Stegostoma tigrinum: one gene and its partners. The main gene of each other region encodes a partner of the protein of the gene in region 4 in a complex. Links are inferred from orthologs where the notes say so. Each region holds a gene or a part of one and is shown on either strand. Other genes may lie near its edges.

Evidence for each region.
Region 1: smarce1 (region 4) and SWI/SNF complex subunit SMARCC2 share a complex: the UniProt entries of both Homo sapiens proteins name them as parts of the BAF complex. The link is inferred for Stegostoma tigrinum from reciprocal best matches to the Homo sapiens genes SMARCE1 and SMARCC2.
Region 2: smarce1 (region 4) and SWI/SNF-related matrix-associated actin-dependent regulator of chromatin subfamily D member 2 share a complex: the UniProt entries of both Homo sapiens proteins name them as parts of the BAF complex. The link is inferred for Stegostoma tigrinum from reciprocal best matches to the Homo sapiens genes SMARCE1 and SMARCD2.
Region 3: smarce1 (region 4) and dpf1 share a complex: the UniProt entries of both Homo sapiens proteins name them as parts of the neuron-specific chromatin remodeling complex. The link is inferred for Stegostoma tigrinum from reciprocal best matches to the Homo sapiens genes SMARCE1 and DPF1.

Annotation. Positions count from the first base shown.
Region 1 is NC_081404.1:1,307,398-1,315,375, reverse strand, and holds the start of SWI/SNF complex subunit SMARCC2, read right to left. Parts: upstream 3,021-7,978; 5' UTR 2,995-3,020; coding exon 2,884-2,994; intron 1-2,883. UniProt on the Homo sapiens protein: Involved in transcriptional activation and repression of select genes by chromatin remodeling (alteration of DNA-nucleosome topology).
Region 2 is NC_081384.1:23,920,329-23,927,425, reverse strand, and holds the start of SWI/SNF-related matrix-associated actin-dependent regulator of chromatin subfamily D member 2, read left to right. Parts: upstream 1-4,078; 5' UTR 4,079-4,548; coding exon 4,549-4,704; intron 4,705-7,097. UniProt on the Homo sapiens protein: Involved in transcriptional activation and repression of select genes by chromatin remodeling (alteration of DNA-nucleosome topology).
Region 3 is NC_081392.1:15,780,261-15,787,673, reverse strand, and holds the start of dpf1 (zinc finger protein neuro-d4), read right to left. Parts: upstream 3,008-7,413; 5' UTR 2,928-3,007; coding exon 2,896-2,927; intron 1-2,895. UniProt on the Homo sapiens protein: May have an important role in developing neurons by participating in regulation of cell survival, possibly as a neurospecific transcription factor. Belongs to the neuron-specific chromatin remodeling complex (nBAF complex).
Region 4 is NC_081384.1:2,078,830-2,086,643, forward strand, and holds the start of smarce1 (SWI/SNF-related matrix-associated actin-dependent regulator of chromatin subfamily E member 1), read right to left. Parts: upstream 3,003-7,814; 5' UTR 2,776-3,002; intron 1-2,775. UniProt on the Homo sapiens protein: Involved in transcriptional activation and repression of select genes by chromatin remodeling (alteration of DNA-nucleosome topology).

The DNA of each region.
Region 1 (7,978 bases), on a different chromosome or scaffold from region 4:
GCAATTTCTGTTTTAGTTTCTGATTTCCAGCATCTATAGCTCTTTGGCCATTTTTAAAAAATAGGACAGGATCTGGCCAAGGTAAACTGAGAGCAGCAACTTGCAGGAAAAGCCACACCAGAGCAGTGGGAGACATTCAAAAGGACAATAGAGAGAGTGCTGGGCCAACATGTTCCTCTAAAGGGAAAGGTGGAACCAACATACCAAGATGTCAAGGGAAATGCAGGATTGGATAAGGGGCAAAAAGGAAGATAATAGGAGACACCAAAGGCTCAAAACTGTAGATACCTTAGAGGAACATAGGAAGTGCTGGGGGTTGCTTATGAACAAAGAAAACCAAGTGTGAAGCTGGATGAACACAGTAGGCCAAGCAGCATCTCAAGAGCACAAAAGCTGACATTTCCGGCCTAGACCCTTCATCTCTGATGAAGGTCTAGACTCGAAACGTCAGCTTTTTGCTCCTGAGATGCTGCTTGGCCTGCTGTGTTCATCCAGCTTCACACTTTGTTATCTTGGATTCTTCAGCATCTGCAGTTCCCATTATCTCTGCTTATGAATGAAATTGAGTATGAAGGGAGGACATGAAAAAACTTTGATGGGTAACATTAATGAAAATCCAAAGGCCTTTTTTAAGCTTATTAGGGCAGTCAATGGACTAGGGATGTTGCGAGACTATTGATTCAGAGATCCAGAAAATGTTCTGGGTAAGACAAAACAAAGAACTGCAGATGCTAGAAATCAGAAACCAAAACCAGACATGGCAAGGAAAAACTCAGAACTGAACAAAGGTCTCTGGACTCTAAACGTTAACTCTGCTTTCTCTCCACAGATGCTGCTGGACCTGCTGAGATTTTCTAGCAATCTGTCTTTATGATCTAGGTATCCTGGTTTGAACCTGGCCATGGGAGACAGTAGAATTTAAGTTCAATAAAAGTCTGGAATTAAGAATCTAATGATAGCCATGAAAATATTATTGATTGTCAGATAAACCGATCTGGTTCACTAATATCCTTTAGGGAAGGAAGTCTACACGTGACTCCAGGCCCACAGCAACGTGGCTGACACTTTGGTGCCCTCTAAAATGGATTAGCAAGATACTCATTTGTATCAACCACAAGAAAGCAAAATAAAGGAATGAAAACAGACAGACCACTTGGCACTGACCTAGGCACCTGAAATTGCAATGGAAAAAAACAGCCCTGTTAGCCAGACAAAAGTCCTCCTTACTAACATCTGGGGGCCAGTGCCAAGATTGGGACAGTTATCTCATAGACCAGTCAAACAACAGCCTGACATAGTCATACTCATGGAATCATACCTGACAGAAAAATTCCCAGTCACCACCATTACCATCCCTGGATATGTCCTGTCCCACAAGCACAACAGACCCAGCAGAGGTGGCTGCACAGTGGCAGTCGGAAGGGAGTTGCCCTCATGAAGTCTTACGGCATCATGTCAAAAATGGGCAATTAAAACCTGAAACTGATTACCAGACAGCATCTTCTATCCACTGATGAATCAGTGCAGTTCAACATCGTATGGAGAAAAGCTGAGAGCAGCAAGTGCGCAGAATGTACTTTGGATGAGGGATTTTAATGTCCACAACTAAGATTGATCAAGCCCTAAAGGACATGGCTGCTAGACTGGGTCTACGTCAGGTGGTGAGGGAACTGACGAGGGAAAACCATTCTTGACCTCATCCTCACCGACCTGCCTGTTGCAGACATATCTATCCATGATTCCACAACCAACAGATCAGATCCAGATCTGCAGTCCTACCACATGTAAGCATTCATTGTATTGGACAATTAAACTATTCACTGAAGGAGGCATCACCACAAACATGCTCATTCTCAACGATGGTGGAGCCCAGTACATCAGTGCAAAGGATAAGGCAGAAGCATTTACAAAAACCTTCAGCCAGAAGTGTTGACGCAGGGGAGTGAGGGGAAGATTTTGGTTTTCAAGCATCTCAACTAGCTTTTAAATGGCGGAGGGGAACGTGTTCAGGAGGATTTGATTTATGTAGTAAAGGAGCTTTTGTGTCGTAAGAAAGACTGCATTTCTCAGCGGCCGGGATTTTAAGTGAGACTTGGTTTTAAATAGGGATTGGTTTCAAGGGGCAAGCTACTTTTTAAAGCGGGAGATTGTTTTTTTAAGAAAAAGGGACTTCTTGGGGTTTTGGGAATGGAAGGGGGTTCTAGGAAGAAACGTTTTTTTTAAAAAGGGGGAATTGAGGTTTGAAGGAGAACGAAGCTTTTTAAAGGAATGGGGTGTGGTGAAGTGAGGGAGTGAAGGGCGTTTATGGAGATAGCGAGTTCATGGGGTGGTAAAAGGTGTTCGCAAGGGGAGGAGGCTTACGGCGGGGGAATTGGGGATTTCATGGAAGAAGGGATTTTTAGAAAGCTTCAAAGGGGATTAATTTAAGGGAGCAGGAGGCGTCTTCGGGATGAAGGTTTTTTTAAGGGGATTGGACATTTTAAAGTGTCGTTGAAGATTTAAGGCGAAGTTGGTTTTGAAGTAGGATTGAATTTTTTGAGAGGGAAAGGTTTCAGACGGGGCAGATATTTTTGAAATGACGAAAGCAGCTTTTAAGTAGTTATAGGGAGAGATGGGAAGGAGAATTGATCTGGAGTTTCTGAGCATGAGGCGAGGAATGGAAGCAGACCGGGCTGCCTGCAATTCGGCGTCCTCCACTTCCGACTTTCTCCGTTCCGCAGACGGAGACTTACGACCATCGGCTGGGCAACCCGACAGGAAGCTCCGAGGCCGATGTCAAGGACAGGGAAAGCCGAACTTCCACCCGCCATCAGGATACAGTCCAGGGCCCAACAAACAATTGCATCCTCACCCTTTCCGATCCACTCCACTGGCATCTCTCACCTTTTTATAATTCTTCCCTAGCCACAGGCGCACATTATCAAACTGCGACACCGTATCTGAGGCCTCGAAATATTTCACATTCGGGCCTCCGTCCTTCTTCCGCACCGCCATTTTCAACCACAAATTCACTGAGAGAAGATAGGAGCAAAGAAGCAGCAGACAGCACCACCGCCTGGCCAGAGGTGCGCCTGCAGGAGCAGACAGCACCACCTTTTCTGATGGCCGAAACGTCAGCTTTTTGCTCCTGAGATGCTGCTTGGCCTGCTGTGTTCATCCAGCTTCACACTTTATTATCTTGAATTCACCAGCATCTGCAGTTCCCATTATCTCTGAGCACCACCGTCCTGTCGGGATATGTCTTGACATACCCATTTACCACCAGGTGATAGAGATCCCCAATGCTCCCTATGTAGGAGTCCTCTCTCTTTTCCCATTGGGGAGCTGGGGTGGAGGGTGTTGCACGCAGTAGACCAGTGCAATCACCAATTACAGTGGTTTATGGACTCCAAGCCCAACTGTTTGTTTTGTGGTAATAAAATGTGAGGCTGGATGAACACAGCAGGCCCAGCAGCATCTCAGGAGCACAAAAGCTGACATTTCGGGCCTAGACCCTTCATCAGAGAGGGGGATGGGGGGAGGGAACTGGAATAAATAGGGAGAGAGGGGGAGGTGGACCGAAGATGGAGAGAAAAGAAGATAGGTGGAGAGGACAGTATAGGTGGGGAAGTAGGGAGGGGATAGGTCAGTCCAGGGAAGACGGACAGGTCAAGGAGGTGGGATGAGGTTAGTAGGTAGGAAATGGAGGTGCGGCTTGGGGTGGGAGGAAGGGATGGGTGAGAGGAAGAACAGGTTAGGGAGGCAGAGACAGGTTGGACTGGTTTTGGGATGCAGTGGGTGGAGGGGAAAAGCTGGGCTGGTTGTGTGGTGCAGTGGGGGGAGGGGACGAACTGGGCTGGTTTAGGGATGCGGTGGGGGAAGGGGAGATTTTGAAACTGGTGAAATCCACATTGATGCCATTAGGCTGCAGGGTTCCCAAGCGGAATATGAGTTGCTGTTCCTGCAACCTTCGGGTGGCATCATTGTGGCACTGCAGGAGGCCCATGATGGACATGTCATCTAAAGAATGGGAGGGGGAAGTGGAAATGGTTTGCGACTGGGAGGTGCAGTTGTTTATTGCGAACTGAGCGGAGGTGTTCTGCAAAGCGGTCCCCAAGCCTCCGCTTGGTTTCCCCAATGTAGAGGAAGCCACACCGGGTACAGTGGATGCAGTATACCACATTGGCAGATGTGCAGGTGAACCTCTGCTTAATGTGGAATGCCATCTTGGGGCCTGGGATAGGCGTGAGGGAGGAGGTGTGGGGGCAAGTGTAGCATTTCCTGCGGTTGCAGGGGAAGGTGCCAGGTGTGGTGGGGTTGGAGGGCAGTGTGGAGTGAACAAGGGAGTCACGGAGAGAGTGGTCTCTCCGGAAAGCAGACAGGGGTGGGGATGGAAAAATGTCTTGGGTGGTGGGGTCGGATTATAGATGGCGGAAGTGTCGGAGGGTGATGCGTTGTATCCGGAGGTTGGTGGGGTGGTGTGTGAGAACGAGGAGGATCCTCTTTGGGCGGTTGTGGCGGGGGCGGGGTGTGAGGGATGTGTTGCGGGAGACGCGGTCAAGGGCGTTCTCGATCACTGACGGGGGAAAGTTGCAGTCCTAGAAGAACTTGGACATCTGGGATGTGCGGGAGTGGAATGTCTTATCGTGGGAGCAGATGCGGCGGAGGCGGAGGAATTGGGAATGGGGATGGAATTTTTGCAGGAGGGTGGGTGGGAGGAGGTGTATTCTAGGTAGCTGTGGGAGTCGGTGGGCTTGAAATAGACATCAGTTACAAGCTGGTTGCCTGAGATGGAGACTGAGAGGTCCAGGAAGGTGAGGGATGTGCTGGAGATGGCCCAGGTGAACTGAAGGTTGGGGTGGAAGGTGTTGGTGAAGTGGATGAACTGTTCGAGCTCCTCTGGGGAGCAAGAGGCGGCGCCGATACAGTCATCAATGTACCGGAGGAAGAGGTGGGGTTTGATCGAGAACACCCTTCACCGCGTCTCCCGCATTTCCCGCAACACATCCCTCACACCCCGCCCCCGCCACAACCACCCAAAGAGGATCCCCCTCGTTCTCACACACCACCCCACCAACGTCCGGATACAACGCATCATCCTCCGACACTTCCGCCATCTACAATCCGACCCCACCACCCAGGACATTTTTCCATCCCCACCCCTGTCTGCTTTCTGGAGAGACCGCTCTCTCCGTGACTCCCTTGTTTGCTCCACACTGCCCTCCAACCCCACTACACCTGGCACCTTCCCCTGCAACCGCAGGAAATGCTACACTTGCCCCCACACCTCCTCCCTCACGCCTATCCCAGGCCCCAAGATGGCATTCCACATTAAGCAGAGGTTCACCTGCACATCTGCCAATGTGGTATACTGCATCCACTGTATCCGGTGTGGCTTCCTCTACATTGGGGAAACCAAGCGGAGGCTTGTGGACCGCTTTGCAGAACACCTCCGCTCGGATCGCGACAAACAACTACACCTCCCAGTCGCAAACCATTTCCACTCCCCCTCCCATTCTTTAGATGACATGTCCATCATGGGCCTCCTGCAGTGCCACAATGATGCCACCCGAAGGTTGCAGGAACAGCAACTCATATTCCGCTTGGGAACCCTGCAGCCCAATGGTATCAATGTGGACTTCACCAGCTTCAAAATCTCCCCTTCCCACACCGCATCCCAAAACCAGCCCAGTTCGTCCCCTCCCCCCACTGCACCACACAACCAGTTCAGCTCTTCCCCTCCACCCACTGCATCCCAAAACCAATCCAACCTGTCTCTGCCTCCCTAACCTGTTCTTCCTCTCACCCATCCCTTCCTCCCACCCCAAGCCGCACCCCCATCTACCTACTAACCTCATCCCACCTCCTTGACCTGTCTGTCTTCCCTGGACTGACCTATCCCCTCCCTACCTCCCCACCTATACTCTCTCCACCTATCTTCTTTTCTCTCCATGTTCGGTCCGCCTCCCCCTCTCTCCCTATTTACTCCAGTTCCCTCTCCCCATCCCCCTCTCTGATGAAGGGTCTAGGCCCGAAACGTCAGCTTTTGTGCTCCTGAGATGCTGCTGGGCCTGCTGTGTTCATCCAGCCTCACATTTTATTATCTTGGATTCCCCGGCATCTGCAGTTCCCATTATCTCTGTTTGTTCTGTGGTGCTGTGGAGACTGTAGACCCTATGAATGTTGCTTGTGGGCATTTGCACTTTTTTTTAGTTAATCAAAAGACCTTATGCTCTGTTTTTGGTTGCACTTCAGCCCCATGCTCCTGATCTTCGGGCGCCCAGTGCACAGGGGTGCAGGCAGGTTGATGGATCGCCTCATTGTTCTGCTCCTGGGCCTTGCCAGGCTAGCTGTAAACAGGTTCAGGCAGCGGGGCGTGGAGCCGGTCATTTTAGCTCCCTCTCCATGGCTCTGTTTGAGCCTGGGCGTCCTTGGAGAGAGAGCAGGTGTTGTCTATCAATACTTTTGATTCCTTTAGGCAGAGATGGGCACCACGGGGGTTGCAGTGCTTTATTTTCCCCTCCAATTCTGTTTTGATTTGATGCCTCCCTTCCCCTTTACTCTTCCTTTCACACAGGCATTGCTGCTATTGGGGGTCGCTTGTTACTGGTTCCTTGGCTACATGGGTGTTTTACCTGGTGATGGAATATTGAATAAAACTATTTATATAACTGGTGTTTTCACTGAGTCCCTGTACAGCAGTTGCTACAGGTGGAATGTAAAGCAATAGTGTCGGGAGAGGAGGTTAAGAAAAGTTCCACTGCAAGTGGCAAGCAGGGCAGCAGTAGACGTCCATCTTGTGACCGTTGCCATCCAACACCTTAAACTGCGGTGCTCAAACCTGACATTGTGCACCACTTGGACGATACTCAGGTGGAATCCTGTCTATGTGTATGCCTGCCAGATGTGTATGGCCCCAAGATCCCATGCCCCACAACCTGAGCCACTGCCAAAATATTTGTCATATGCCCTCTAGAAGTGCAAAATGACAGGCTTTGTACAGACTGCTGCAGCACACCATCCACCTCTTCTCCTTCATCCACTGTCTAGGCGTGCCTATTTACCAAGTATTTGGGATCCCCAGTGGAGGGCGCTCTACATGGGATACTGCCCTCTTTTCTGTCGGGGATCTAGGGTGGAGGATGTTGCGAAGTTGGGTAGTGTATTTGTGGATTGGGAGGCAGGAAGTTACAATTTTGTGTTTGTAAATGCTGGGGGCGGGGTAGGGGAAGCATTGTCTGGTCCTTTAAAAGATGTGTTTTTCATGTGCTAAGAGGTTTAAAACGGATGCTGTGAGCAGCAGCTTGAAAGTTTGCAAGTGCACAGAGAGCACCTGAATTGAAACATTTGTATTGAAAGGCCGTACATTTAGCAGGCCAAGCAGTCAATTTTACTAAGGCAACAGGCTTTTGAATTTAGCCATCAATATGAACCAGGCACTTAGATACCAAAAACCAATTAAATTTAAATCTGATGGTTTTGACAACATAGAACTAATTCTATTGTAAGAAATATTGATATGTCATCAAGGGTATAAAAGAAAGAGACAGTTGAACAAAGCCACAGCTAGTTGCCATCCGCCAGAGCTAATGGCCCTCAGCTCTCAAGAGAGAATCGTTGGCTCTCACAGCCTGCTCTATGTTTTACAGGAAGCACCATCTAAACAACAGCTGTACCAACGGCACAACTAGTTAATATTCTTAATAGAGAATTGACAGAGAAAGCATTCCTGACAGACGAATCGATGGAGAAGGGACACAACATTCCAGAAGACATGTAACCTGACTGTAATTTCGACAGACTGAATTCTTTAGATGTAGTGGGCCTTTTATTTATTGGAACAGCATACCGTCAGAATCTTGCTGCATTCAGGAATGGGTAATAGAGGAGATTTATTCTGTTTGTTCATAGTTTAGTTAATTTGTTCACTGTTAGCGTTAGATATTTAAATTGTTACTTGTTGATTTTAGAGTGTGTGTCAGGGATTTATTTTATTTAA
Region 2 (7,097 bases), about 22 Mb from region 4:
GAAATTCAGAATGACAAACAATGCATTCACTGGGCAGAACAATAGCAGATGAAATTCAATACAGACATGTGTAAGAGCTGATCACTGGAAAGCAAAATATCCATTGCATGCATTCCAAGTTTGGTGTTAGCAGAGTTAAAGATGAAGCTGAAAGAGATCAAGTCATCTCAGCAAATGTAATTGACAGTATTTCCAAGGCTGAGGAGTCATGAACAATGCCATCAGAATGTTGAGCTACGTAGCCAAAATTGTAGAATGGAGATCAGAAAATGTTGCGATTGAAACACACTTCGCACCACACCTTAAAAACTGCATCTAGGTGTGGCTGCCAAGATCCCAACAAAAAACATTCACATGCTGAAAGCACTGCACATTAGAACCACAAGGCTCAGCCAAAAGTCAGGGATCTGAATTCTAGGGAAATTCAGAATTTACAGATACAAACTGTTAAAAGGTAATTATACAATTGATATCAGAAAATTTTATTCCGTTATGTGTCCAGGTAAAGCAATAGATGAAAAAAGACAATTAAATGCTGCAATGGGAACACTTTTCTGAACAGGCTGCTTTCTCATCCACAAGAATTTTATGATCTAGTATGTAATAGATCAATCATATTTCCATGCTTAGGCCAAGTTGAGAGTTTCTTTTGGTGTTGCACATTAAATATGGGGAATCAATCTGTCTTGAGGGTTCCTTATGACCATGCAATATTAGATTTGCCTGCTTTGTGAGCAAACTTTGCTTGCAAATGAAAGAAGGGCGTTATTTGATGGTCCCTGATAAAAATGTAAAAATATAATTAACAAAAAATGTTAGATTTGCTGGTCGTCTGGGCAGACTACAGTTGGTGAGTTTCAAACAACTGCACAGGACTTTCAACATTAAGTAAATACCAAGGATGGACTTAGGAATAAATAAAATTGGATATAGTCATTTATTTCAGCATATAGACTTTTTTAAGATTGGGTCACAATTTTTAACTACCAATGACTAAAATTTGACTGCCACGACAGTATTTCAAACTTGATTTGTTTCAAGGCAGAGAGTTCCTGTTTCTCACCATCAGATTACATAGATAAGCTGGGACTCATTATTAGTCTATTCACTTCTGAGTCAGAAAGTTGGGAATTTGAGCCCTAGCAAGATATCTGAGCAAATAATATGCAATTGTAAAAGCCCATCAGACTGGGAAGAAGGCATCCTTGATAACAAAGTGTGGAGCTGGATTAACACAGCAGGCCAAGCAGCATCTTAGGAGCACAAAAGCTAACGTTTTGGGCCTAGAACCTTCATAAGAAAAGGGGGATGGGGAGAGGGTTCTGAAATAAATAGGGAGAGAGGGGGAGGTGGATCGAAGGTGGATAGAGGAGAAGATAGGTGGAGAGGAGACAGACAAATTAACGGGGTGGGGATGCACTTGCCACTACACCTCCTCCCTCATCCACATCCCAGGCCCCAAGAAGACTTTCCACATCAAGCAGATGTTCACCTGCACATCTGCCAATGTGGTATACAGCATCCGCTGTACCCGTTGTGGCTTCCTCGGGGAAACCAAGCGGAGGCTTGGAGGCTTTACAGAACACCAATGCTTGGTTCGCAATAAACAACTGCACCTCCCTGTCGCGAACCATTTCAACTCCCCCTCCCATTCCTTAGACAACATGTCCATCCTGGGCCTCCTGCAGTGCCACAACGATGCCACCCAAAGGTTGCAGAACAGCAACTCATGCAACCTTCTGCTTGGGGACCCTGCAGCCCAATGTATCAATGTGGATTTCACAAGCTTCAAAATCTCCCCTTCCCCCACTGCATCCCAAAACCAGCCCAGCTCATCCCCGCCTCCCTAACCTGTTCTTCATCTCAACTATCCCCTCCTCCCACCTCCAAGCCACACCTCCATTTCCCACCTACTAGCCTCATCCCACCCCCTTGATCTGTCCATCATCCCCAGACTGACATATCCCCTCCCTACCTCCCCACCTACACTCACCTTACTGTGGATTTCACAAGCTTCAAAATCTCCCCTTCCAAAAACCAGCCCAGCTCATCCCCTCCCCCCACTGCATCCCAAAACCAGCCCAGCTCGTCCCCACCTCCCTAACCTGTTCTTCATCTCAACTATCCCCTCCTCCCACCTCCAAGCCACACCTCCATTTCCCACCTACTAACATCATCCCACCCCCTTGACCTGTCCGCCCTCCCCAGACTGACATATCCCCTCCCTACCTCCCCACCAACACTCACCTCTACAGGCTCCATCCCCACCCCTTTAACTTGTCTGTCTCCTCTCCATCTATCTTCTCCTCTATCTATCTTTGATCTGCCTCCCCATCTCTCCCTGTTGATTTCAGAACCCTCTCCCCATCCCCCACTCTGATGAAGGGTCTAGGCCTGAAACATCAGCTTTTGTCCTCCTACGATGTTGCTTGGCCTGCTGTGTTCGTCCAGCCCCACACTTTTTTATCTCGGATTCTCCAGCATCTGCAGTTCCCATTATCTCTAAGAAGGCATCCTTGCTTGTTTTCAATATCATGCCAAGTGATGTTTTATACCCCACTGTGAAAGCAGATAGAGCTGAGTTTTAAGGCCTTGTGTGAATGACGGTGGCTGTTGAGAGCAATACCCCCCTAGCGCTGTACAAAAGTGTCAGGTGGATGTAGCTGAATATAGACTGTCACTAGATACTCTGAACATTTATTCCTCAACCAATATCTTTTAAAATCAAAATACCTGCTTATTTATTTCCATGTTGCTTGTGATCGCTACATAGACAAATTGGCTGCCATGTTTGGGGAGTGGCTACAATTCAAAAGTACTCTGTAAAACATTTTGAGATGTCCTGAGGTGATGACAGGTACATTTCAAATGTCAGTCATTTCTTCCTAAGTGTCTGGTTTTCAGGAAGAAGGCATTTTAGAACTTCTGTTCATAGTACTGGGATAAAGGAACCTCAGGTCCTATAACCAGTATTTGTAAAGATTTCCTCTGTTATTAAATACATCATTATGCCTTGTAAAATGCTAATGATATTCTAACCTCCTGGGGGTTACCATTGACCAGAAACTGAACAGGACTAGTGATACAAATACTGTGACTGTGAGAAGATCAGAAGCCTTGAATCTTACAATTAATTTACTTCCTGACTTCTCAAAGCCTATCCAGCATTTACAAGTCATAATTCAGGATCTGATGGCACACTCCCCACTTGCCTCCATGAGTGCAGCTCCAAAAACATTCAAGAAGCTTGACACCATCAACAAAACAACCCACTTGACTGGCACCATATCTACAAAGTTCAGTCCTTCAACCACAATGCTCAGTGGAAGCAGTGTGTACCAGTTACAAGATGCACTGCAGTACTTCACCAAGGCTGCTTAGGGAGAACCATCCAAACCCTTGACTGCAACTCTCTAGAAGGGCAAGGACGACAGATCCCAGGGAACACCACCATTTGCCAGTTCCCCTCCAACCACACACCATCTTGACTTGCAAATATATCGCTATTTCTTCAGTGCCAAAATCCAGGGAACTCCCTCACTAATGGCATTGTAAGCATCCTTGTACCAACAGACTGCAGCTGCTCAAGGCAGCTCACCACCACCTACATTACCTGTAAATTTCCAACTTCTGGATTTGGTAGTCAGTACGAGTTGGCGTGCACAGAGCCTCTGAGCAAATTTGTGACCACTTAATGGGGACAGTGCTCACCACCACCTTCTCCAGGGCAAATATGGATGAGCAATAAACGCTGACGCAGCCAATGAAGCCCACACCCCATGGGTGAATAAAGGTATTTTCTAAAAAGAGTCAACAAGGTGCGAGAAATAACTAAGAAAATGAGGGTTGGATTTGTCTGTTTTGCCAGGCAAAGAGTTCATTCTAACAGAGGTGCTGCTGACTGAAGACTGCACTTTACCTGGCGCAGGCTGAGTTCCTGCTTGCTATAGACAGCACAATGTTTAGACTTGCCTGGTGAAGTGCTCCTACTGAGTAGGTAGAGGGCGCGCGGTCTATTGAGTTCCCTGCTAACCTGCTTGAGCAATCCCCACCCATCTGCCAAAGCCACAGAAGTGGGCGGGAGGCGTAGCTCTCAACAAACAAGAGTGTAGCGAGGGGGAGAAAAACACTCTGATCTTTATCTTTAGACATTTTGTTGGTTTTGAGGCACTTTAGAAAATGTGTCAGTGCCAGCAGAGTGGGGGCTTATAGCTCTCCAGCAGATTCATGGGTAATGATGACACCAAACATTGCCACCTCTGTGCCTGTTGTTAAATGTTATGTGTGTGCTTTCTTGTTTTTTTTGAAAAGAAAGCGTTAACGTAGCCGGTAAGGAATAGCCGTGGGGTGAAACCGGAGACCTCTCTCCCTGAGCCGCGGAGGCTTGTGGCAACCAATTGGAGGAGTGACTTGTACCAAGTGACAGCTGGGATCTTTGTTGGAGGAAGAGTTGTTAGCGCCGAGTGAGATTGTCTTTTGTTTTCATATATCTACATATACATATATATATTACATGCATGTGTCTGTTTATGTATACACTTTGAAAAAATGGCGACAAGAGTAGGCGGAGGGTACCCCTTGAACCCAGGGAGCCCCCTGAATCCTTCCTTGGGGGTGATGCCAGGACAAGCGGTCAGGATGCCACTGAACCTCCAGCAGCAATCTCCAGTCTTCCGGACGATGGGTCCCGGCGGCGCTTACAACGTGAGTAATTGCCTCCAAACCCCACTGCTCACCAGCAATGCAAAACTTTCCAACTTCTGCCCTTATTTATCTGCACCGATCGATCGGAAAGCACTGAAACCGGCCCCAGAATCAGAAAGGAAACCACCGTTTTATTTAGTCATCGATTTTCCCCCCCCTTTTTCTGTAATTATGTTTCTTGACTTCTTTAGAATTAAATACTTGATGTGGCGGCGCCACATGAGATTAATTTTTAATGTAGTTTTTCTTTAAAAAAACATGTGGTTTAGACACGTGCAAGAGATATGAAATAGCTCTAAAGGTGACTCTCTTTTTGTTGAATAAAAGAGTTAGTTGCTATTTTTTTCTCTGGTGTTTATCAAATTGGCAAGGAACTGACCCCAAGCAGACACCCTAGCCCTCTTGTTTTGCTGGTTGAAATTACAGTGAAACTCGGCCTAAAAGCTCCCTCCCGATCCTCCCTGCTGAATTATTTTGTGTGTGTGTTGTTGTTCCCGTTTCGCATTACTTCCGCATTCAGTGTCGCATCGAGAAACCTTGTTCCGCGATTGCGGAGATTCGGCGCTTGGACCCTCATCCCCCTGACCCCGGAAACCCGGGGTCTCCGCTTCAATCTGCAGCCTACCTACTTTCCCCCACCCCCCAAGATCACTGCAAAATACCCACCCTCCCGCCTCCCGGACTATGGTCTTACACGTGGTCAGCACTGTAAGAGAGGAGAGGCACATGAGCGCCATCACATGCCTCCTATTGTAGGGCCACTGGGAGTTTGGGGCATCTGGATTGTAGAGAGCAGGAGCATGTGGGGAACCTTGATTATAGAGAGAGGGGTATTAGGGGGTTTGGTTTATGCACACAAGCTGGGGTAAAGGTTCTGAATTGCAGGGGAAAAACATGTAGGAGAACTGAATTGTACAAGTGGGGATGTATCTGGATTACAGAGACAGGGCGACTAGAATTGCAAAACTGAAAGAAATAGGAACTGTATTAGGCTGTTCACCCCCTCCTACACCCTTCAGTGGGATCATAGCTGAAACTTAATTCTTCATCTCTGCTTTCCTGCGTTTTCCCTGTATCCCTTGATTCCCCGACTGATCACCAGCTTTAAATATACACAAGGACTGTACCCCACAGCTGTCTGTGGCAAGGAGTTCCAAAGACACACTCACCATTGAGAGACAAATTCCTCCTCATCTCCGTTCTAAATTGGTGCCCCTTTGTTCTGAGGCTGATCCTGGACTCTACCGTGAGAGATAACATCCTGTCAGTATTTACCCTAGCGAGTTTTGAGAACATTTGTAGCTCAGGTTGAGTTTCTGGATGTGAGTTTGCTCGCTGAGTTGGAAGGTTAGTTTTCAGACGTTTCATCACCATTCTAGGTAACATCATCAGTGAGCCTCCGATGAAGCGCTGGTGTTATGTCCCGCTTTCTATTTATCTGTTTATCTATTTCTATTTATTTGTTTAGGTAAACAGATAAATAGAAAGCGGGACATAACACCAGCGCTTCATCGGAGGCTCACTGATGATGTTACCTAGAATGGTGACGAAACGTCTGAAAATTAACCTTCCAGCTGAGCGAGCAAACTCACATCCAGTATTTCCCCTGTCAAGCCCCTTAAAATCCAGTAAGCTTCAATGAGAGCACCTCTCATTCTAATGAACTGCAAGGGCTGGAGTCCCAACCTGTTTAGCTTTTGCTCATTAGACAGTCCCTCTAGATCCCGTACACCCCCTCTCTCTATAATTGAGGTTCTCCACATGCTGCTTATCTCTACAATCCAGATTCCCCACCTCCCAGTGGCCCTACAATAGTCCCATCCTAGGGAGCCTTCTTTGAAGTGAGGCTGATTTAGTTTGGGAAACTTGGTCAGAGTGGACAAGTAGGACTAAGGATCTATTTCTGTGCTCAGAGATAATGGGAACTGCAGATGCTGGAGAATTTGAGATAACAAAGTGTGAAGCTGGATGAACGCAGCACAAAAGCTCTATACCCTTCATCAGAGAGGTGAAGGGTCTAGGCCCGAAACGTCAGCTTTTGTGCTCCTAAGATGCTGCTTGGCCTGCTGTGTTTATCCAGCTTCACACTTTGTTATCTCTGTTTCTGTGCTGTCTGAATCTAGGACTGTATGATTCAAGAGACACAGGCGAGATGAGAGATCTGGATGATGGGGACAATGGAATGTTGGGGATCTAGATTACAGAGACAGGGCAAAAAGGGGCTCTCAATTATGAAGCCAAGGGATGGGGATCTGTCTTACATATAAAGCATTTGAATTGTGGGTGAGGAAAATAGGATACCTGGATTACAGGTAAGGGGAGACTGGGATTAGAAATGCGAGCTGTATCTTGGTCTGTGTTATAGGGGCAGGTTGACATAGGGGATCTGAATT
Region 3 (7,413 bases), on a different chromosome or scaffold from region 4:
GAAGGGAGGGAGGAGGTGAAGGGGAACAGAGGGAAGAGGAATGGAGGGAGGAGGAATAGAGGGAGAGTAGAGGGAGGAGGGGAGGGGCAGTAGAGGGAGGGGGAGTAGGGGGAGGGGAGTAGAGGGAGGAAGGGAGGGGGGCTTGAGGGAGGAGGGGAGGGGGTTGAGTGGAGAGTGAGAGGTTTTGTGAGAAGAGGAAAGGGGAGAATAGGTGGACAGGTGAGGGGGAGGAGGTGAGGCTGAGGGGTGAAGAGGCTGGAATGGCTGGGGGAATGGGCTGGTGACAAAAGGAGGTTTGGGGGGTGTTTAGAGAGGAGAGGAGAGGGAGATAGAGGCGGGGAGGAGGGAGAAAAAGAAAGAAGGGTTGAGGGAGAAAGGGCAGAGGGAGGAGGGCAATAGTGGCAGAGGTGAAGTGGGACCAGGATCTTTGGGAAGTGGGGAGGAGGTATGCGGAGGCGGGGGATGGTAGTGTTTGGTGAAGTGTAGGGTATCCTTTCCCTGTGCATCCCAAAATTCCTGCAGAATCCAGACTAACTGCTGACCATTGAGCGTGAGCTCCTCGGTGCCTTTCTCCTCCAAAATAATTCAGAGAGAACTGTTCAGGGACTGGGACCGTTAGGAATCCTTACCATCTAATTGCGACTCATGGCGGGGTGGGTGGGGGGGAAGACAGCTAAAATATTCGAGGGGCACTGGCCCTTCAGCTGAAACGGACTGTTGGGGGGGGGGGGGGGAGCAGTGCTTAGTGTCACTGCTGTGAGACTGTGTTGTGTTCATCCAGTTGCTGCTGGTCTCCCCATCTGGTCCTGACCTCGTGCAAACGCCTCACTCTTTGACCCTCTCTTGTTAAAATTCAGTCCCTACCAATTCCGACACGTTCCTCCAGCAGCCCCCACCCCCTTCATGCTGACCCTGTCCAGGGCTGAATCCCTCCCCACCCCCAAGACCTAGCAATGTGAACCCGAGCACTGAATTACAGAAAGGATACAGTGCAGGAGGAGGACATTCGGCCCATCGTGTAGGGGCTGGCTCTCCAAAGGAGGTCCCACTCCCCCCACCTCCTCCCCGCAGCCCTGGGCGCAATCTCCTTCAGCGGGTACCCAGGTCTGTTTTGCCAGCTGAAGCTGCACATTCCAGACCCTAACCACTCACTGTGGGTAAACATTTCTCCTCTTGGCCCTACTCTCACAGGCCTTAAAACTGCATTGTGTGGCACTCAATCCTGACAACCCCCCAGGGGTAATGTTTCCACTCTGTGGGTTTGCATACTTGATTTGTTGCTCCCAGGCTATTCAACTAGGTGGGCATCAGAGGCCAAGCCAAACGAGGCTCACTCTTTGCCCATCTGTAAGCTGTACAAAACTCTGGTGCGGCCGCACTTGGAGTATTGCGTACAGTTCTGGTCACCGCATTATAAGAAGGATGTGGAAGCTTTGGAAAGGGTGCAGAGGAGATTTACTAGGATGTTGCCTGGTATGGAGGGAAGGTCTTACGAGGAAAGGCTGAGGGACTTGAGGCCGTTTTCATTAGAGAGAAGAAGGTTGAGAGGTGACTTAATTGAAACATATAAAATAATCAGAGGGTTAGATAGGGTGGATAGGGAGAGCCTTTTTCCTAGGATGGTGACGGCGAGCACAAGGGGGCATAGCTTTAAATTGAGGGGTGAAAGATATAGGACAGATGTCAGAGGTAGTTTCTTTACTCAGAGAGTAGTAAGGGAATGGAACGCTTTGCCTGCAACGGTAGTAGATTCGCCAACTTTAGGTACATTTAAGTCGTCATTGGATAAGCATATGGACGTACATGGAATAGTGTAGATTAGATGGGCTTGAGATCGGTACGACAGGTCGGCACAACATCGAGGGCCGAAGGGCCTGTACTGTGCTGTAATGTTCGATGTTCTATGTTCTATCTGAAGTCCGCAGTATTCCACTTCACTGCTGGGTTTGGTGACCATCAGTGTTCACAGTTACCCTCATCTTTCTGTGTGGTTGATGAACACGCACCAAGGATGGAAATGGGTGCCTGGTGGAGGTTGGGGAAGGGGGTGCAATGTGTTTTATATGCCCTCAGTGCTGTCAATCCCCCTCCTGCATCTTCAGAATTGCTGCAGGGAACCAAGAGAGGCTGACATTTGAAAAGAAAACACAACCCATTTCTCCCTAACCTTCAGAGAGGCATTTATCAGGCACACAAGGCAAAAAAATGAAAATAAATGACATTTCACTAAATCAAAAGTATGACAAAAATCTCGAGCTTTCAGATTTGGTTGCAAAACTGAAACAGGTATTCAACATAACAAAACAGCAAACGGAGATATTCTTTGATGGGGGTGGGGGGGGGGGTTGTTTTCTGTCGGCTCAACGTCTCGCCGCCCGCTCCACCGCCTTTAATTACCCTGCAGTCCCCAGCGTCTGCCCCCGGGCGGCGCTGGCGAGCCGCGGGTGGCTGCAGCCCTCCCCTTGCTCTCATTAAAGGCGAGCGGCTCGCTGCCGCTGAGCCCTGATCAGCCCATTAGCCAGCACTGTAAAGCACATATAACACTGGGCTACAATATACTCCACATGCCAGCAAGTCACCTTTAAGGTGAGGAGGCAACTGCATCCAAACAGTTTCCAGCTGAAATGGAAGGGGAATGGGGGGGGGCAAAAAAAAGAAAATTAAATAGAACAACATTGAAAAAAAATTAGAAATAATGCAACCTGCATAAGAAAAAAAAATGCAACACTAATAGAAGGGTGCAGAATATTATTGAGTGTAATGCACTTGGCATCTATTGCAAAACCTCTCCTGAATTGCATGCAAGTTTTTTTTTCATTTAAGAGGGCTGCCAAATGCAAGAAAGGTCTGGGGAAATTGCAAAAATGCAAGGCAGAAATTTTTGCAGATACTCACGATTTTAAAGGATTCTGAATGACTGTCGCCATTTTGATACAATAAAATACAGTAGGATCACAATTGTGGTTTTAACATTTCATTTGGACCATTCACAATATGGAACAGGGCTGCGGCCACGAAACAGCCAATCAGCAGCCCCCTGGTGCCTGGGGAGCGACGTCACCTGTGTGGAGAGGGGCGTGGCCGCGCCTGCGCCTCAGCTCCGGGGGCGAGATTGGGGGGAAATGGGGGGTAATCCCAGTGTCTGCTGGGAGTTGTAGTCCATCCCCCCACGCTATCCTCCACTATGGGGGGCAGTAATCTGTGCCGACTGGGAATTGTAGTCCTCTCCCCTCTTGTGTCCCCTTTTCCCTGGGGTGGCAATGCCCACTCACTACAAAGACAGAAACCTCAGGGATTTGATTGCATTGTAGAGGGCGAGAGGGTGCATAGGAGATTCACCTAGTCACAAAGAGAAGAAACCTCAGGGATTTGATTGCACTGTAGAGAAAGAGAGAAAGGGTGCATAAGAGATTCACCTAGTTACAAACAGAGAAACCTCAGGGATTTGATTGCACTGTAGAGAAAGGGAGAAAGGGTGCATAAGAGATTCACCTAGTTACAAACAGAGAAACCTCAGGGATTTGATTGCACTGTAGAGAAAGGGAGAAAGGGTGCATAAGAGATTCACCTAGTTACAAACAGAGAAACCTCAGGGATTTGATTGCACTGTAGAGAAAGGGAGAAAGGGTGCATAAGAGATTCACCTAGTTACAAACAGAGAAACCTCAGGGATTTGATTGCACTGTAGAGAAAGGGAGAAAGGGTGCATAAGAGATTCACCTAGTTACAAACAGAGAAACCTCAGGGATTTGATTGCATTGTAGAGAAAGAGAGAAAGGGTGCATAAGAGATTCACCTAGTTACAAACAGAGAAACCTCAGGGATTTGATTGCACTGTAGAGAAAGGGAGAAAGGGTGCATAAGAGATTCACCTAGTTACAAACAGAGAAACCTCAGGGATTTGATTGCACTGTAGAGAAAGGGAGAAAGGGTGCATAAGAGATTCACCTAGTTACAAACAGAGAAACCTCAGGGATTTGATTGCACTGTAGAGAAAGGGAGAAAGGGTGCATAAGAGATTCACCTAGTTACAAACAGAGAAACCTCAGGGATTTGATTGCACTGTAGAGAAAGGGAGAAAGGGTGCATAAGAGATTCACCTAGTTACAAACAGAGAAACCTCAGGGATCTGATTGCATTGTAGTGAGAGAGAGAGAGGGTGCATAGGCGATTCACCCAGTTACAAACACTGAAGCCTCAGGGATTTGACTGCACTGTACAGATAGAGAAAGGGTGCAGAGGAGATTCACCTAGTCACAAATAGAGAAGCCTCAGGGATTTGATTGCACTGTCGAGAGAGAGAAAGGGTGCAGAGGCGATTCACCTAGTTACAAACGGAGAAACCTCAGGGATTTTGGTGCACTGTAGAGAAAGAGAGAGAGTGCACAGAAGATTCACCTAGTCACAAAGAGAAAAACCTCAGGGATTTGTTTGCACTGTAGAGAAAGAGAAAGGGTGCAGAGGAGATTCACCTAGTCACAAAAAGAAAAACCTCAGGGATTTGATTGCACTGTAGAGAAAGGGAGAAAGGGTGCAGAGGAGATTCACCTAGTTACAAACAGACAAACCTCAGGGATTTTGTTGCACTGTAGAGAGAGAGAAAGGGTGCAGAGGAGATTCACCTAGTTACAAACAGACAAACCTCAGGGATTTTGTTGCACTGTAGAGAGAGAGAAAGGGTGCAGAGGAGATTAACTGGGATGTTCATGTGGTGCTGGAGTGATTCAGCTATGAAGAGAGAAGGGAGAGCTTAATTTCCCTATAGCGGAGCGGGTGGCTTGACAAGGGTGCACTGAAATCTGAACAGCATAGACAGGGAGAAACTTTCCCCCTAGTGGAGAGGTCTCTCACTGTGAGTCACAGTTTAAAGACAAGGAGCAGCACGTTCAGAGGGGATTTCAGGAAGATCTTTTTTACCCAGAGGTATCTAGAACTCACTGTCCAAAAGGGTGGTAAAGGCAGGAGCTCTTAGCATATTTTGGGGGAACTGTTTCGATGAGCACTTGAAGTGCCAAAGAGAGCTCACTCCACATGTGCAGTCCCTGCCACCCCCACTTTTGCAGAGTTTTATATCTTTAAATTTTCAAATGGGCGGTGTTGACGTTTGCAGAAAATTAACCACCAGAAGTTTCATTTGTTTTTCAATTTTGGCTGGATGTAATGGTCGGCGCATGTGATACAGGGGCAACTCGAGGTGGGGAGGAGAATTAAAGTCACTTGGTATGCGATGCTCTCACCAACACCGCCTCGTCAATGGAAGGGATGTGTTCAATCCCCTTTCCACCCCCTTCACCCCCCAGACTTGAGCACCTGTTCCAGGTTGATATTCCCGGTGGCTGCACTTTCAGAGATAACACAGTGTGGATCTGGAGGAACACAGCAGGTCGGGCAGCTGTTTCGGGTCAGGACCCTTCTTCAGAAATGGTTTTCTGAAATCTTCAGATTTCTGAAGGGTCCTGACCCAAAATGTCAACTTTCCTGCCCCTCTGATGCTGCCTGACCTGCTGTGTTCCTCCAGCTCCACACTGTGTTATCTCAGACTCCAGCATCGGCAGCTCTTACTATCTCTGAGTGAGCTACACTGTCAGAGCTGCTCCCACTGAGATGTTAAAATGTGAATTTCCTAACACTTTCTCAGCTATAGTAGGACCTGCAGTTGCTGGAGAATCTGCGATAACACGGTGTAGAGCTGGATGAACACAGCAGGCCAAGCAGCATCAGAGGAGCAGGAAGGCTGACGTTTCGGGCCTAGGCCCTTCTTCAGAAAATGAAGAAGGGTCTAGGCCCAAAACGTCAGCCTTCCTGCTCCTCTGATGCTGCTTGGCCTGCTGTGTTCCTCCAGCCCTACACTTTGTTGTCTCGGATTCTCCAGCATCTGCAGTTCCCATTATCTCATGTATTTCAACCTTTCTTTTCAATATCCCCCCCACAACCTATCAGCCACGATCTCATTGACTGGTGGGGCAGACTTGATGGGCTGAATGGCCTACCTCTGTGCTTACAATTTCTTGCTCACTGGTTGGCGCTGGCTGCTGTTCAATAAACACCCTGATTTGATCATTATCACTGGGTTTCCAGATCTCCTCCATGGCCTCCCTCTATCTCTGCCATCTCCTCCAGCCCCACTACCTCCAACCCTGGGAACCTAGAAGCCCTGCAGTGTGGAAGCAGGCCATTCAGCCCATCAAGTCCACAACCCACCTTCAGACACCACCCCACCACCCCAAACCCCTGTAACCCTACACATCCCTGGATACTATGGGCAATTTGGCAAGGCCCATCCACTCTAACCTGCACATCACCATAGAATCCCTGCAGCATGGAAACAGGCCACTCAGCCCTACAAGTACACACTGACCCTCTGAAGAGCTTCCCACCCATCCCCTACCCTTCCCCTGTGACCCTGCATTTCCCATGGCTAACACATCTAACCTACACATCCCTGGACACTATGGGGCAATTTAGCATGGCCAATCCACCCTAACCTGCACATCTTTGGACTGTGGGAGGAAGCCGGAGCACCTGGAGGAAACCCACGCAGACACGGGGAGAATGTGCAAACTCCACACAGACAGTCGCCCGAGGATGGAATCGAACCCGGGTCTCTGGCACTGTGAGGCAGCAGTGCTAACCACTGAGCCACCATGCCGCCATCAGAGATCTCTGCACCCACCAAATTCCAGCCTTTTGAGCATTCCCGATTTTAATCCTTCCATCTGAGGAAGGATGTACCGCAAACAGAGGTTCCCTGAGACTGATTCCTAGTATAATGGGGCTATCCAATGAAGAGGTATTGAGGATGATGTGAAGGTGCTGGTTGGACTGGGGTGGACAAGGTCAGAAATCAGACGACATCAGTTACGGTCCAAAAGGTTTATTTGAAATCGCAAGCTTTTTGAGCACTGCTCCTTTGTCAGGTGAAGTGAGAGGGAAGCAAACGTGACTTGATCGAGGTGTACAAAATGATCAGAAGTGTATGTAGAGTGGACAGCCAGAGACCTTTTCCTAAGGTGAGGGTAACTATTATGAGGGAACATAGTTTTAAAGGTAGATATAGGGGAGACATCAGAGGTAGGTTCTTCTTTACTCAGAGAGTGGTCGGGGCATGGAATGCATTGCCAGAGACGGTAGTAGAGTCGGCCTCATCAGGGGCATTTAAGCGGCTATTAGATAGGCAAATGGATAATAGTATAAGGTAGGGGTGGAGGTTAGATATACCTTAGGTTTAGGATAAAAGTTCAGCACATTGTAAGCCAAAGGGCCTGTACTGTTCTATGTTCTAGGCAGGGAGATCAAAAGATCACACACTAGTATGAGTGGAGTATCAGTAATAAACTCTGTAAGTGATCCGCAGTGTCAGATGGTGTGAGTAAAGTGTGAATAACAAGTGAAGGGATGACCTATAATCCAATT
Region 4 (7,814 bases):
AGAATTACACTAACAACCAATTTAAGATTATCAGTGTATCTCACAATGTGGTTCACTTACACTTGCTGGAAGCTCCATATATATTTGACTCCCCGCAAGCAAAATTAACTTGTACAGACACTGCACCTATTCAAATAAACAAGAGTCTGGGGACACTGTTCCCTGGTGTACTCCTCATGGCATTGCCTTGAACAGTCAGTTAACCTGTGAACCAATCAGCACTCTGTTTCTCATGTGGTATAAACATTGCTCCCTTTGAAATCTGGGAATATTCTTACATCTGTGCTGACCAAGTCTAAGATGGAAAAGTTCAAGATCATGTCTTTTTGTTCAGCAACACTCAGCGCGTACTCCAAAGTCATGAGTCATATCCCAATTCAGGGATCCAAGGATCTAGGCCAAGACTTGCAGTTAGCCACTGAAGCAAGGAGATATGAGAGAGAGATAGAGATACGGACAGAGACATAGATAGAGTGCAAAAATGTTCGGGGAGAGAAAAGTACCTCAACTTTGACAAGTTACAGTGCCATGAGAACAGAACAAAGGGAAGAACACAAACATTTGACAGAAAATAGCCATGTTTTCATCAGATTTAATGTTTCTTCAGCAAGAAATTAAGGAGAATGCCTGCATTTTCATTTAAAATCTTCTGCCTTAACAGCAAAGACATTTGGGAAATTGCTCTGCCTGCACTACACTCTGCCTCAAGCTGAGAAAGCCACAATAATACCAATGGACACCACACATTAGCCATGGCTCAACAGGTAATACCTTCCCCTTTGGGCAAGAAGATTCTGTGTTCAAATCCCACTCCTGAGATTTCTGCAAGGTTAATTGAGGGGTACTATAACAGCAAAGGTACCCTCCAATGAAACATTAAACAAAGACTTCATCTATTCTCCCAAGTGAATGGCACTATTCTGAGGATGTGAAGGTGTTGGTGTTGGATTGAGGTAGATTAGACTAGATTCCCTACAGTGTGGAAACAGGCCCTTCGGCCCAACAAGTCCACATCGCCCTTTTGAAGCATCCCACCCAGATCCACCTCCTTATAAATGCACACACCCCTGAACACTACGGGCAATTTAGCACGGCCAAGCCACCTAGCCTGCGCATCTTTGGACTGCGGGAAGAAACCGGAGCACCCAGAAGAAACCCAAGTAGACATGAGGAGAATGTGCAAACTCCACACAGACAGTCGCCCAAGGTTGGAATCGAACCTGGGTCCCTGGTGCTGTGGGGCTGCAGTGTTAACCACTGAGCCACCGTGCCGCCCCTATAGCAGACAACATCAGAAGTCAGGAGACACTAGGTTATACAATTTGGACCCAAAACTTTTTTTCCTGCTCCTCAGCGTGTTGTCTTTTTCTAGCTTCACATCTATTGATTCTATAATCCCAATTTTGCCCTGTTATTCCCAATTTGGCCAACACAACAAAAACTGATAATCTGGCTATTATCACACTGCTGATTGTGGAATTTGCCATGTACAAATTGGCCACCATACTACTGACATAACAGCAGTGATTGCATAGCAAAAATATATACTATATATAATAAACTGATTGGTTATAAAACAAGGTGTGGAGCTGGATGAACACAGCAGGCCAAGCAGCATCAGAGGAGCAGGAAAGCTGACGTTTCAGGCCTAAACCCTTCCTCTAGACCTGTGTTCATCCAGCTCTACACCTTGTTGTTTCAGATTCTCCAGCATCTGCAGTTCCTACTGTCTCTGGCTATAAAACAATCTGAGATATTCCTTTTACTTTAAAAGGAACTATACAAGTAAAAGGCTTTCATTCCATAGTCGGTCCTAGATGAACTAATTGCTCATGACAGGTTGGTGTTGCTTTTCAAAGTCCTGAATTCTCACCACTCCCCAGGCAGACATTTTTCCTGAATTCTCAAATGGATTTATTAGTGACTGTCTTATACTGCCAACATAGCAAAGAAATATGGAGAAACTCAGCAGTTGTGGCATCTGTGGAGACAAAAAAGAGAGTTTAGGACATTTTTTGAGTTAAAAAGATGTTGGAATTTTTTTAAACACTTGTTATACTTTTGACTAACAAAAGACAAAGAGGTTGCCGATGGTGGAGAAAAAAAAATGATGTAAAGTGGAAATGAGTCCCCAACCAATCATAGCCCCAAAGGACCATGGGGCTACTCTTTCATTACAGAGATGATTAGAAGTGCTTTAACTTAAAGGTTATCACACCTCAAGTTAGGGGTGAGGTTGAAAAGGAGAGTCCATGTCACTCTGCATCACAAACCAGCTGTCCATTCAACTGAGCTGGCCAAGCCCAAACGACTGAGGTTATGATTAAGAATCATCGGACTGGAAACGTTAACTTTTTCTGCTAACAGGTTCTGCCTGACCAGCTCAGCTTCTCCAACAATTTCTGTTTTTGTCCTAAACTACTATTAGAATGATAACAGCCTGGTCCTACTGTCCTACGGAAGAAACATCTTGTGTGTGTGTCTACGTACATTTTATAGTCCCAAATATTTCAACTGGGTCACTCTCCACCCATCCCCCTCAATGTTACCAAGACAGCCTTTATCCCCGATTTAATTCATTGGGAGTCAGTCACCCTCCCAGCTCCGGAATATTGTCCATGACAACATCCTGCAGCACCCACACTTCCCACCCAAAGTGAACCCTCGGAGAGATCCCCCTCCCCCCCGTCTTCTCCCTTCACTGCCTCCCCAGCCCAGCTCATCCCTCATGATGTCCCGTTCATCCCCCCCCCCCGGGATCAAAGCTGTACTCACGGAGAGGGCGGGGAGTCCTGTGTCCCGCTGGAGCCGCGGTCCCGGGGAGGCGGTCGGTGTCCCTGGCCGAGGAGGGAGGGAGCTCGATGCCGGGAGCTGGCCTGTGTCGGGTGGGGTAGTTCGGTGACCGGAGCCCGGTACCCGGGGGGGGGGGGTGGGGGAAGGGTCTGGATCCGCAAGCCCGGGGCCGGGGGGCGGGAAGCGCGCGGACCGAGCGCGAGCGGGTTCCTATTGTCCGGGGGCGCCGAGCTCGCACATTCCACACAAACAAAACCCGGCCACGGCTGCCGGATGAAAATTTCCCGACACCCGGGGAATACCCGCCGCCTCGGGTGGACTTGATCTTCCCCCAGTACACTCCCACCTTGGGCCTGGCAGAATTTTATAAAGTAATAAACAGTTCCGCCGAATCTGCGAACCTCTTTCCAACTGTGCCGACCCAAGGCCAAATGTCAGTGTGAGTAGCAACCGTACATTCGAGCCTCCAAATAAAGTTCCCTTCTATAAATTAAATAAGCGCAGTTGTAATATAGTTACAACATCAGTTGTTTTGAGTCTTTGTATAGGTGTTATAAGCTAATAATTTCCTTTTTAATGGAAAACATTTTTCTAAGAATGTGCTGCTACAGACAATAAATCTACTGTGGTTCTTCAAATAGAATGCATGTCTGACCTAAAGTGCATATGCTGTATTGTTTCTGTAAGACTGATTTATTTTGTCCCCAGTCTCACTGAGAAATCTCCTTATCTTGAGAAATGTTAATTTTAATTTGCTGCAGGACTGGGAACATGTCAAATAGTCACTGAAATCTAACAGGTAAGGGACAATATCGAAACACAATCAACGTACCCAACACTAATCAATTTACACCTTGTACAGTTGCTGGTGACTAATAAAATCTGCAATTTAGTTGGTAATTAATTCACAAGATTATTAACAGAGAGGCAATAATGTAGTGCCAGAGCTGTTGGTGGAGTAATCCGGGGACACAAGGTCCCAGGGATAAAAGTTAAAACTGCTTGAGGGGCTCAGCAGGTCAAGCTGTGCAGAGAAAAACAGGCGATAACGTCTCGATTCTGGTGTGACTACTTAAGGATTTTGCTTTCATTTTAGTGTCCCAGGAACTCATATTCAAAATTAAAAACAAAATCTCTAACTGAAAGTCTGATGACGACCATGTAGCCTTTGTTGGGAAAATCCATCTAGTTTGCATGTGTTTTTTTGGGTAGAATAACTACTATTCTTTCCAGTCACGTATATCTAAAGCAATGTGATGGACTCTTAACTGGAGACGTAACAGAACTGTGGAAATAAAGAATCAGAGAATCCCTACAGTGTGGAAACAAACCCTTTGACACAGCAAGCCCCACACGGACCTGCAGAGCATCCCACCCAGATCCATTCACCTAATCTATAAATCTCTGAACACTATGGGCAATTTAGTATAACCAATCCACCTAGCCTGCACGTCTTTGGACTGTGGGAGGAAACTGGAGCACCTGGAGGAAACCCACGCAGACACGAGGAGAATGTGCAAACTCCACACAGACAGTCACCTGAGGGTAGAATTGAACTCGGGTCTCTGACACCTAGAGGCAGCAGTGCTAACCACTGAGCCAAAGATGAACGCATATTTCAAAATCCCCAGGCTAATGTCAAGATTTGAATACCACCACAGCAGATGGTGATATTTGAATTCAATATAACCTAGATTTTTCTTGTAAAAGCTAGTCTGGTGGACATTATTGTTTAGAAATCCATCTGGTTCATTAATGCCCTTTTAGGCTTGGTAATATGCCTCCCTTACCTAGCCTGGGTAATCTACAACTGGAGACCCACAGCAATAGAGTGTAAATTTTTGTCCAGTCACAGCCTGAGAATGAATGAATAACTGTCCTCCAACTGGCCACAAAAGCCATTCAGTTGTATCAAACACTAAAGTGCAACACACAGGGAATGAAACTAGGTGGATCATCTAACATTGACCTGAGCACAGGAAACAACAACAGCTAAAGTAAGCCTGTCAAATCTGCAAAGTCCTGCTTACCAACACCGAAGGATGGTACCAAAATTAGGAGAGCTGTCTCACAAACATGACAAAATTCACAGAGTCACAGTCGTGCAATCATAACTTGCACAGTTTCCCAGATACACTATGTTCTGGGTCATCCCACAGAACCATACATTGTCAGGGGGGAGTTGCCTTGTGAGTCTTCAGCATTGATTCTAGAGCCTGTGGAGTCCAATGGCATCGGGCCACATATGGGCAAGGAAACCTGCTGATTACCATCCAGTGGCCCCACCCTGAGCTGATGCATCAGTATTCCTCCAAGTTAAACACCATGTAGAGGAAGTGTGAACTTATCACACCCATAGTCAAGCTGATCCAGTTTGTCTACAACACTGATAGCGACTTGACAATGTGGAAAGTTGTCCGGGTATGTACGGTGTACGAAAAGCAGGACAAATCAAACTTGGCCAATTACTGCCCCATCAGTACTCTCGATCATCAGTAAAGTGATGGAAGGTGCCTTCAACGGCGCTTTCAAGCAGCACCTGCTCTGCAATAACCTGCTCGTTGACACCCGGTTTGGGTTGCGCCAGGACCACTCAACTCTGGACCTCATTACAGCCTAGATGCGAACATGGACGGAAGAGCTGAATTCTAGAGGTGACGTGAGAGTGACAGCCCTTAACATCAAGATCACATTTGCCTAAGTGTAATATCAAGGAGCCCTAGAAAGACCTGAGTCAACTGGAATCACTTGCTGTCTGGATTCATACCTGGGCCTCTATGGGCAGCATGGTGGCTTAGTGGTTAGCACTGCTGCCTCACAGCGCCAGGGACCCAAGTTTGATTCCAGCCTTGGGCACCTGCCTATGTGGAGTTTGCACATTCTCCCTCTGTCTGCGTGGGTTTCCTCTGGGTGCTCTGGTTTCCTCTCACAGTCCAAAGATGTGCAGAGTAGGTGGATTGGCCATGTTAAATTGCCAATAGTCCCCATAGATGTTTAGATTAGGTGGGTTAGACTTGGGAAATCAGGGGATTGGGTCAAAGTGGGATGCTCTTCGGTGGGGCGGTGTTGACTTGTTGGGCCGAATGGCCTGTTTCCACACTGTAGGGATCCTATGGCTATTGACGGTCAGTTATCTCAGCTCCAGGCCATCTGTGCAGGAGGGCCTCAGAGTAGTGTCCGAGGCGCAATCATCTTGAGCTACTTCATCAATAACCTTCTGTCTATCATCAGATCAGAAATTCACTGATGTTTACACAATGTTCTAAACCATTTGAGACTACTCAGATACTGAAGCAGTCCTTGTCCAAATGCAAGATCTACCCAATATTTAAGCTTGGTCTGACAAGTGGCAACTAACTTTCACCCCACATAAATGCCAGGAAATAACAGACAATCTAACCATCACCTTGACATTCAATGACATTACTGTCACTGAATTCCCAATTATCAACAATCTGAACTGGACTCATCATATAAATACAAGCCTACAAGTGCAGGTTAGGGGCTAAGAATTCCGCAGCAAGTAACTCAACTCCAGACTCCCCAAAGTCAGTCCACCATCTACAAGGCACAGGTCAGGTGTGTGATGGAATACTACCTACTTGGCTGAATGAGAACAGCTCCAACAACACTCAAGCAGCTTGACACCATCCAGGACAAAGCACCCTGCCCAACTGGCTCCACATCCACAAATATTCATTCTGTCCATCACCGATGCTCAGTCACAGCAGTGTATACCATCCACAAGATGCACTGCAGAAATTCACCAAAGATCCTTAAACAGCACCTTCCAAACCCACGAACAGAAGGACGAGGACAACAGATATGTGGGAACACCATCTACAAGTTCCCCTCTGAGCCACTCACCATTCTGACTTATTCCATCACTATCGCTGGGTCAAAATCCAAAGGCATTATGGGTCTATCTACAGCACATGGACTACTGTACCAGGTACAACAAACAAAAGGTACCCTTTAAGGGAGACAGCCAACTAGAGTTTCTGATGAAGGGTCTAGGCCCGAAACGTCAGCTTTTCTGTTCCTAAGATGTTGCTTGGCCTGCTGTGTTCGTCCAGCCCCACACCTTGTTACCTGAGAACCCAGGTATCTCTGTTTTAAATACTCTGAATGACAGCCTTCTGCTCAATGATTTCCACAGATTAATTACCTACTGGCTGAAGAAATTCCCCCTCATTTCGATTCTAAAAGGTTGTTCCTTCACTTTCAAACTGTGCCCTCAGGTTATAACTGGTGGAGACATGTTTTCCACGTCCACCCTACCCAGCCCTGTTGGTATTAGAACATAGAACATTACAGCACAGTACAGGCCCTTCGGCCCTCGATGTTGTGCCGACCTGCCATACCAATCTGAAGCCCATCTAACCTACACTATTCCATGTACGTCGATATGCTTGTCCAATGACAAATTAAATGTACTTAAAGTTGGCGAATCTACTACCGTTGCAGGCAAAGCGTTCTATTCCCTTACTACTCTCTGAGTAAAGAAACTACCTCTGACATCTGTCCTATACCTTTCACCCCTCAATTTAAAGCTATGCCCCCTCGTGCTCGCCTTCACCATCCTAGGAAAAAGGCTCTCCCTATCCACCCTATCTAACCCTCTGACTATCTTATGTGTCTCAATTAAGTCAACCTTCTTCTCTCTAACGAAAACAGCCTCAAGTCCTTCAGACTTTTCTCGTAAGACCTTCCCTCCATACCAGGCAACATCCCAGTAAATCTCCTCTGCACCCTTTCCAAAGCTTCCACATCCTTCTTATAATGCGGTGACCAGAACTGTACGCAATACTCCAAATGCGGCCGCACCAGAGTTTTGTACAGCTGCAGCATAACCTCATGGTTCTGGAACTCGATCCCTCTATTAATAAAAGCTAATACACTGTATGCTTTCTTAACAGCCCTGTCAACCTGGGTGGCAACTTTCAAGGATCTGTGTACATGGACACTGAGATCTCTCTGCTCATCTACACGACCAAGAATCTTACCATTAGCCCAGTACT